Linked DNA regions of Caenorhabditis elegans. The protein of the gene in region 1 interacts with the protein of each later gene in a pairwise test. Each region holds a gene or a part of one and is shown on either strand. Other genes may lie near its edges. The genes, in order: flh-1 and nhr-111.

Region 1 (3,926 bases):
ACCAATTTTTCCTAGAAAGGTCAGTTTTTGAATTTTAATGAGAACTCTGAGCAACCTTTGTTCTCTTTCAGGATTCTCGCATTCATCAGTACTTTCCATTTGATCCTCCATCTCCTTTGTCATCAGAAGAAAAAACTCCAACACAGTCTCGTCACAATTCACCGTCTCCAACAAGGTCTCCTGTAACAGAACCTAAAGAATATGATCCAATAGTACCTCCAAACAGCCCAAAAAGGGGAATTCCAGAGCACTGGTCACAGCGAGCACAAGATAATATTACAATGGGATTTGGTTTTGCTCAGAGTTGGATGAACACCATAAAACCATCGAGAAATACAGTAGAAGAACGAATAAGACTCCCACAAATATATCATGTTCCAAGAAAAGAATTCGTTTGTTTGGTGGCACTCACATCGGTTGATGAAGCTCTCTTCCACACAATATTAATGTTCCCATGACTTCTGAGGTCTTTTAAAATGCATTTCTTCTCTTCTTCAGATCGAAATTTTGTATACATCTCAGCACCCCATAAACAAAAGTTAATTTTCAAAAAATGTTTGATAGATTTGATTCTGTTGAATATTTTCGGCTGCATACTTTAAGCAACAAGTGGATTTTACACCAAATTGTTAACTGTGAGCCGAAAAGGCTGCATCCCTTTTTTGATAAAGAACCAAAGCCAAACCACGTACGGGCTAGAAGAGGAAGAGATTATGATCGTTTCTGAATTTTCAAATAATATTGTAATGTTATTTTCTTCATATGTGCTAGTAAAATGCTTTTTATGGGATGATGCAAGTGAATTTTTCTACATTTCTCGACAATTTATTTGCAATGCAAGTAAGCAGCATAATGACGCAAAATTCGCCATTTTTTTTACATTTCTCTACATTTCTCGACATTTGAAAAAAACACTCATTTTTCGTCAAAACCACGTCTTTAGTTCACGACTTTACCTTCCCAGACGTTCACGTTTGTTAAAAGTAGTGTAAAATGGGAAAAATAAAAATAATTTGAGAATTTTAAAAGATAGATGCGTGGCCATTCAACGTGGTGTTGCAAAACAGCCAAATTTGAAAAATCAAACTTGATCATTTTTAAATTTTAGAATTCAAAACCACGTTGAATGACCACGCATCTATCTTTTAAAATTCTCAAATTATTTTTATTTTTCCCATTTTACACTACTTTTCACAAACGTGAACGTCTGGGAAGGTAAAGTCATGAACTAAAGACGTGGTTTTGACGAAAAATGAGTGTTTTTTCCCACGTCGAGAAATGTAGAGAAATGTAAATAAATGTAAAAAAATTGCGAATTTCGCGTCATTTCGCTGCTTACTTGCATTGCAAATAAATTGTTGAGAAATGTAGAAAAATTCACTTGCATCATCCCATTAGAGATGAATTCCTATTTGAAACTGCTGCAACTATGTAAAAAATATATATGGTGACTTATTGATATTTCATTTTCCATTTTCACAACCTCGTGGACCACCAAAGCAACATGCAATATTCTATTTTGTTTTTTAGGCCTGTTCAAATAAGTTTCCAGTGATACGCAATTTATCGTAGCCGTTATTGCACAAAAAACGTCAATGAGTGACAGTAGTCCACGCGCATAACTGTTCATCATTTTTCGTTTCATTTGTTTTTTCTCTGGACAGATCTGTGTTTCTCGCAATTTCTTTTCATATTAAATCGTTAAAATAGTAATTTTCAATTTCCAATTATAAGAAAACCGAAAGTTATTCTTATAATCTCTCAAATGCTTAAAAAACCAACCTAAATAAACAGAAGTTCCTTTTGGATTATTTTAAATTATTTTTGCCAAATCTAAAAATAAAACCAAAAATAAATCAAAATATTCTCAACTATGAGACATTTGTTTAAAAATCGTTTTTTTTTTCGCTTTTGTATTTTACAGGCAGTATTTGTTTTTTTACACACGTTGCCATCTTAATCTATTTTATTCGAAATTTTTATAAAATCTAAATTTATTTTCAGGACGGCGTCTTCCAATTATCTAATATCGGAGGATGTATTCGCCAGAATCGTAAGGCTCCTGCTCAATCATAAAAAAACGCTTGCCTCTATTGTTAATCCTACATGTCTCCCTTTTCTCACGTCTAGCGTTCTTCTCTCCCCTCCCAACATCGCCCTATCTACTGTAATCCAACGTCACCATCTGTCCCCGCTGCCTCCATGCCGTCGTCTTTTTTTGCTCCCGTTTGCTGCGATTGCCCTCCCACGAAGGACCTCTTTGGTGTAAACAGTGGAACGGACCCAAGAGTGCGCGTACGCGGTCCGCGAGCGGCTGACCGCGCACGTCATTAGAAGAGACAACAAATGAATCAGAGAGACGCAGAAGAAGGGACCATAATGTCCCGCCCTTTCCCCGTTGGGTTGAGAGACTTAGACCCCCGAACGCTGCTAATGTTACAAATATGTCATTCCAATAGGATTTTGGTCTACCGTCTGGCTGCATAGTTTTTTACTTCCTATTTTAACCTCATCACTCAATTGGTCTTATCTTCCATGTAACTTAGAATAATTTATTAATTTCAGAATGAACTCCAACATATCTTCTCCATCCCCTCCGTCGTCGTCTTCTCTTAATGCTCCAAGTCTTGCGGATGCTCCTGAAGTTAGATCCGATGATGGAGAAGCCGAAACTTCCGAACCATCGACTTCTGTCACAGCTGTACCAATGGAGATTGTGTCCCAAGCATCTACATCTGCTCCTGTTAACCAGTTGCTCGCGAGCGGAATTGATATGTCTAGCGTTATTAAAGTAAGTTTCCTCTATCCAAGATGTTATTTCATTTGATTGTTATTTCAGAACAACGCTGTTTTACAGGCACTTCTTGCCAGTGCCAGTGCCGGTGGATTCGGAGACAACGCAGGCCTCACCATGTCAAAATTATTGACCGCCGCTCTCGCCAATGGATCCACTGCGGTTGCTAAAAGAGATGCAGGTTCTCCACGTACTGATATCCCAAAGAAAACTCGTCTGAAAGTGTTTTCAAACGGATTTTTCATGACATTTGACAAGCTTTCATCATGTCAAAAGAAATATTTCTGGAGATGTGAATACAAGAACACTTGTAAAGCACGAATGCATACGGATATTGTTACTGAAAAGATCCTCACGTTTATCCATGAGCACAATCACAGTGCACCAATAGATGAAGAAGTTAGACTTTATGGATTGGACCCAACGAATATCGAAAGAAATCGTGTCTACATAGTTGGAAATGTTGCTGATCCAAATCAACGAAGAAAGATCCGAAAGCAAGTTGCGGATAGAGAAGCAGCTGCAAAGAGGCTCGTTCAACAGCAAGAAGAAGAACAACAGAAGCAACAAAGTGCATCATCAATTGTGGCGGCTCGAGCAGCTTATGCGCAAGCAATGCAGAATGGCTCAATACCCACATCTTCTGGGGTCGCGTCTTTTCTCCAGTCAACTTCGGCCACTGCTCCAATGACGTCTCATTCAATGCTCCTTGCGCAGATGCCATTTTTAAATAATATTAAAACGGAGATGTCAAATATGGTGAAAAACGAACAATTCACTCCTGAAAGATACACACAGCATATGTCTCCAAACTTGGTATGTCAACTTAGTGTTGAAAGTTTATTCTATAATAATTTTTAAGCCATTGCAGACCGCCACAATTGCTCCACTAATAATTCCAACAGAGAACTACGACTCACCTTCATATAGACAACCAGCAATCAAAAGAAAAGCTACTGATTTGACGAATGAAGAACATGATTTGAGAAGAGATCCGATGTTCCAGCCAACTTTCGAGCTTGCCAGAAAATTGAGAAAACTGTGGAAAGGAGAACCGAACAGATATCCAAGAACTACTACGACTCCGACTCATCATTTTGAATTCTTCCTTTCTAAAAATGATGGAACAGAT
Region 2 (3,926 bases), on another chromosome or scaffold:
TTGGTCAAAAGTTGTCAGATATTTTATTTCATTATTTTCAAAAAATATGACCTTCCGATTTTGTTTCAGAATGTACAAAATGTACTAAACATTCTGAAAATTATTTAAACTTTGCAAACGAGAAAAATGTTTATCACTTTGGGGTTTTGGTATTTTGAGCTAATAAAAATGAGCATTTTGCGATGAAATATATATGTATGGTTTTCATAAATTTTAGTTTTCTGTAACTTTGTCAATAACCAGGACTATGCAATTGCCGCGCACCCTAAACTTACAGCTTTCTTGAAAATCATTTCAAAATCTTCTATTTTCAGATTAATTGTGCGAAAAGTGTCTCGAAAAATGAGAGAAGTTATTGACACTCACAACCCTGGCTTCAAAACTCTAGGATTTTTTGTGAAAAAGAATTACACATCATTGCTCGTGGATAACATGGAAATCAAATATAGCAGCGTGGGACGTGATTGTGTCCTGAAGTATGGACAGAAGACAAAAACAATTATTGGTGCAAAATCTGTTGATGTGGCTTTCAATGACTTTGGAATTATCATGAAGAATCCGGCACTTCGCTTGGAAAAATTTCCGATTCAGCTTTCTGTTGATGTTGAGCAAACTGGGACTTATTTTTCAACTCTTCTTGATGTTTTGAAATCCTCCATGTCTTGCCTACACGTTAAAAAGTTTCATGGGACAGATTTCTCCGAGGAGCAGCTTCTATTAGTGATCCCTTTCCTAAAAGCTGGATATCTTGAAAAAATTGAGCTGCTTTCCAATGAGCCCACAGATCTCGAGAAAATCGCTAAACTTGAGCAATGGAAAAGAGCACAAGTTTTTGATTCGTTCTGGAAGAGTTATAAGGTTTCTGTCGAGGATATGCTCCATTTCAGAGAGTTCTATGTAATTGTACCTTGCTTTTCAAAAGAGGATGCAGTAAAACTGAGAGATGTAAGTTTAAATAAAAAATCGAAAAAAAATCCAAGTATTATTTTCAGTTGCTCACAAAATCAGTGGACTTCGAGAACGGGTGCTTCAAGTTCCCCGAAACCAACATTATCGAAATAGTGAGAGTTTTCATTCTGGACTACGAAGGAGAAGAACGGGCCAAAATTGATTATAACGAGAATGGCACAGATTTTATCTTGGACTTTAGCACAGAACACTTTCGATTGACAAAAAAGAAGATTGTGGACAGTGACTGAAATTAAATTTTAAAAAATATGATTTTTTTTAAAAGTTTTTGTATTGAATAAATTTGAGACAGACCGACGGCTCGAATTTCAGGTCAAAAGTAGAATTTTGCAGTTTGCATAATTTCAGTTTTTGATCACCCCATTCAGTAGGGAGCCATAAAAAATGGAATGATGATTAATATGCTCTTCTGAAAAATTAGACTTGTGTAAACACAGTGACGGATAACGACGTACGATTCGATAAAAAGGAATAGCTGCGGGAAATGGTGAGCACATGTGTAGGCTAGGAAGCAGTAGGCATTTTTTAGATGTGTTTGGTGCGGTTCAGTCAATTTTTTGCTGGGCTTTTGTGCTTCACATTGAGAGCGTTTTGATATTTTTGACTAGAAACTGAATGTGAGAAAATACTTGTTTCCGAGTATACTAGATGCTATACATAGGTTTTACAGTTTTATATCTTTATTGCATTTAACTGAAAATGACCAAAATCTGAAAAGTACGTAATTGGAAAATGTATGTCAAATTTCAGAATTTAATTAAATATACAACTGAATCGAAATCTGAATATTCTGAAATTTTCAATGAAGATCTCAGTTTTTTTTCCACCATCTTTTGCGCTAGGTTAGCTTAAAGACATTTTTCGTTTAAAATGAAAAAGTATTTAAATGAAAAATGACATATATTACGAAAATTTCCGCTTTCAGAAAATGTGATATCATATATTTCCAGCGGACAATTTCCGCATTTCTATGACTCAACAATTTATAGTCCAAATTTTATTTCAATTCGATCATTCCCTAGTGAATGTTTGCTTCTGATTGATTTCAACTTTAAATACACAAGTGATCTGAAGTATGGTATATCTGCAAAAAATTTTAGAGAGATTGCTGCTCAACTTTTGGCACCTTTTCTCTCGTTTCTCTAACTGTCACTTTATCCTTCTTGTACTAAGCCGGCTGCCTCCAACAGGTCAAGTGGGAGGAGTCGTGATTAGAAGTTGAGCAGTAACCAAATTATTTTTATGCTATTATTGTAGATACTGACAGGATATTCTCAACTTACTCAACGAGAGAATATTTAACAAAAAAAGATGAGCAGCCAAAATGCGAAGTCAATCGGTGGCATTTTGGAAACTTCAACAGGTATGCCCCAATTTATGGGATCGAAAAATTTTTTCATGCTTTAACTAGATAATTACTCAACTCACCGAAATGTATAAATGAAAGCATTTGGTAAAATATATCAGAAAATTTTTAGAAGTCGAAAACAAACTTGCAACGTTGTTTTCTAGATTTTGGAATTTTTTTGACATTTTCGAACAGATTGATAGCAATTTTTGTACTATACTTGTTGACATCTCAAAAATGTATTCTATGTTTCCATTATTTAGATCCCAGTTACGTTATAACCTGACAGAGGTTTGCGGGCGGTAAGTAGAAAAACCAGAAGCTTACAAAACTTGACCGCACTTATCAGCTTCTCAATTTACTTAGTTCAAAAGTTTTATGACAGAAGATTTACAATCTTTCACGCATATCTATAACTTTCAGTGCCTCTGGTCATCCAACCGCAGATTGTAAATGACCCCGCGCAAAACAACATAACTCTTCCAATCACGCTTTGTGCAGTTTGTGGGGACACTTCTAACGGAAATCATTACGGTTGGAAAGAAGATTTAGAAACTAGATAACAATGAATTTTAGGTGTGCCAACCTGTTTCGGATGCAGTGGGTTCTTCAGAAGAACCGTTAGAAACAAGTTGGTACATGGATGTTGGAATGGAGACGGAAACTGTGTGATTGATAAAGCGAACCGGAACAGGTGCAAGTCCTGTCGAATTAAAAAGTGCTTCAAGAAGGGGATGAATAAGAATGGTAAGCTGCTTCTCTGAGTTTGGGCTTCAGATCATTAACTTTGTGTTTGCACCATATAGTGCGGTAGGTATTTTTCAGTGGCCGACATTTTTTTGAGTTTCGCGCCGCACCATATTAACAAAGGCCTGAGGCCGGCAGAAGCCTCCTGAAGCCGGCGAAGGCGACACAGTTTCGTCTCTAAATAATTATTTTCCAGCTGTGCAACCCGAGAGAACTTCCCATAGCTACACTGTAGAGTATGTCGAGTTGCCCTCATTCCGAGAGTATTCCAAGGGACTTCTGCCTACTCACTCTGATCGTCTCAGATTCCAACACGAACATGCTCAACATGAAATTGTTAGTTAATCAGGAGACAAACTATCAACCTGAGACACCACAAATTTAATTTCAGGACACAAGCTCCGTGCTAGTTCATCTGAAAAACGCACTCCAGTGGGTGCAACAGTTTTCGCTCTTCGCAGTGCTTTCCGATGTTGAAAAGGTCTAAATGCCAAACATAAAAGTCATTAAAAAAATTTCCAGAGCCAGATCATACTGACCCAGTGGCCACATCTTTTGTGCCTCGCGTTGTTCGAAAACTCCGAAAAAATCTTCATCGATGAAAAATTTGCACAACTGGCTGAGAAATTCAAATCCCTCGAACTTTCGGCGCAGGATTATTTCCTCTTGAAGGGAATTATTATTTTCACGGAAAGTAAGTTTAACTAGAAAAGCTGCTGAGCTTTCAGAAACTAAAATTTCAGCCAAAGATGGCACTGATCTCAAATTCGATCGCCAACTTGATATCTGTATCGGCCTTCTCAATCAGTTGCACCTGGAGTCTTCAAAGTCCAAATCTGGAAGGCTTCTATTTCTCCTCGGC

What was found.
Region 2: the proteins of flh-1 (region 1) and nhr-111 interact in a two-hybrid assay, tested with the Caenorhabditis elegans proteins (2 studies listed by BioGRID).

The regions. Positions count from the first base shown.
Region 1 is NC_003282.8:9,262,342-9,266,267, reverse strand, and holds the start of flh-1 (FLYWCH transcription factor 1), read left to right. Parts: upstream 1-2,004; 5' UTR 2,005-2,036; coding exon 2,037-2,053; intron 2,054-2,565; coding exon 2,566-2,791; intron 2,792-2,839; coding exon 2,840-3,610; intron 3,611-3,656; coding exon 3,657-3,926. Other genes in the region: Y11D7A.19 (NADH dehydrogenase [ubiquinone] 1 alpha subcomplex subunit 13), read left to right, coding at 1-19, 72-458. UniProt on the Caenorhabditis elegans protein: Probable transcription factor. Binds to the DNA sequence motif 5'-[AG]GGCGCCG-3' in the promoters of target genes, including micro-RNA genes, in order to repress expression, and acting redundantly with flh-2.
Region 2 is NC_003283.11:16,123,136-16,127,061, reverse strand, and holds the start of nhr-111 (Nuclear hormone receptor family member nhr-111), read left to right. Parts: upstream 1-2,222; 5' UTR 2,223-2,280; coding exon 2,281-2,332; intron 2,333-2,740; coding exon 2,741-2,851; intron 2,852-2,893; coding exon 2,894-3,064; intron 3,065-3,260; coding exon 3,261-3,400; intron 3,401-3,455; coding exon 3,456-3,545; intron 3,546-3,586; coding exon 3,587-3,758; intron 3,759-3,807; coding exon 3,808-3,926. Other genes in the region: fbxa-143 (F-box domain-containing protein), read left to right, coding at 315-945, 993-1,199. UniProt on the Caenorhabditis elegans protein: Orphan nuclear receptor.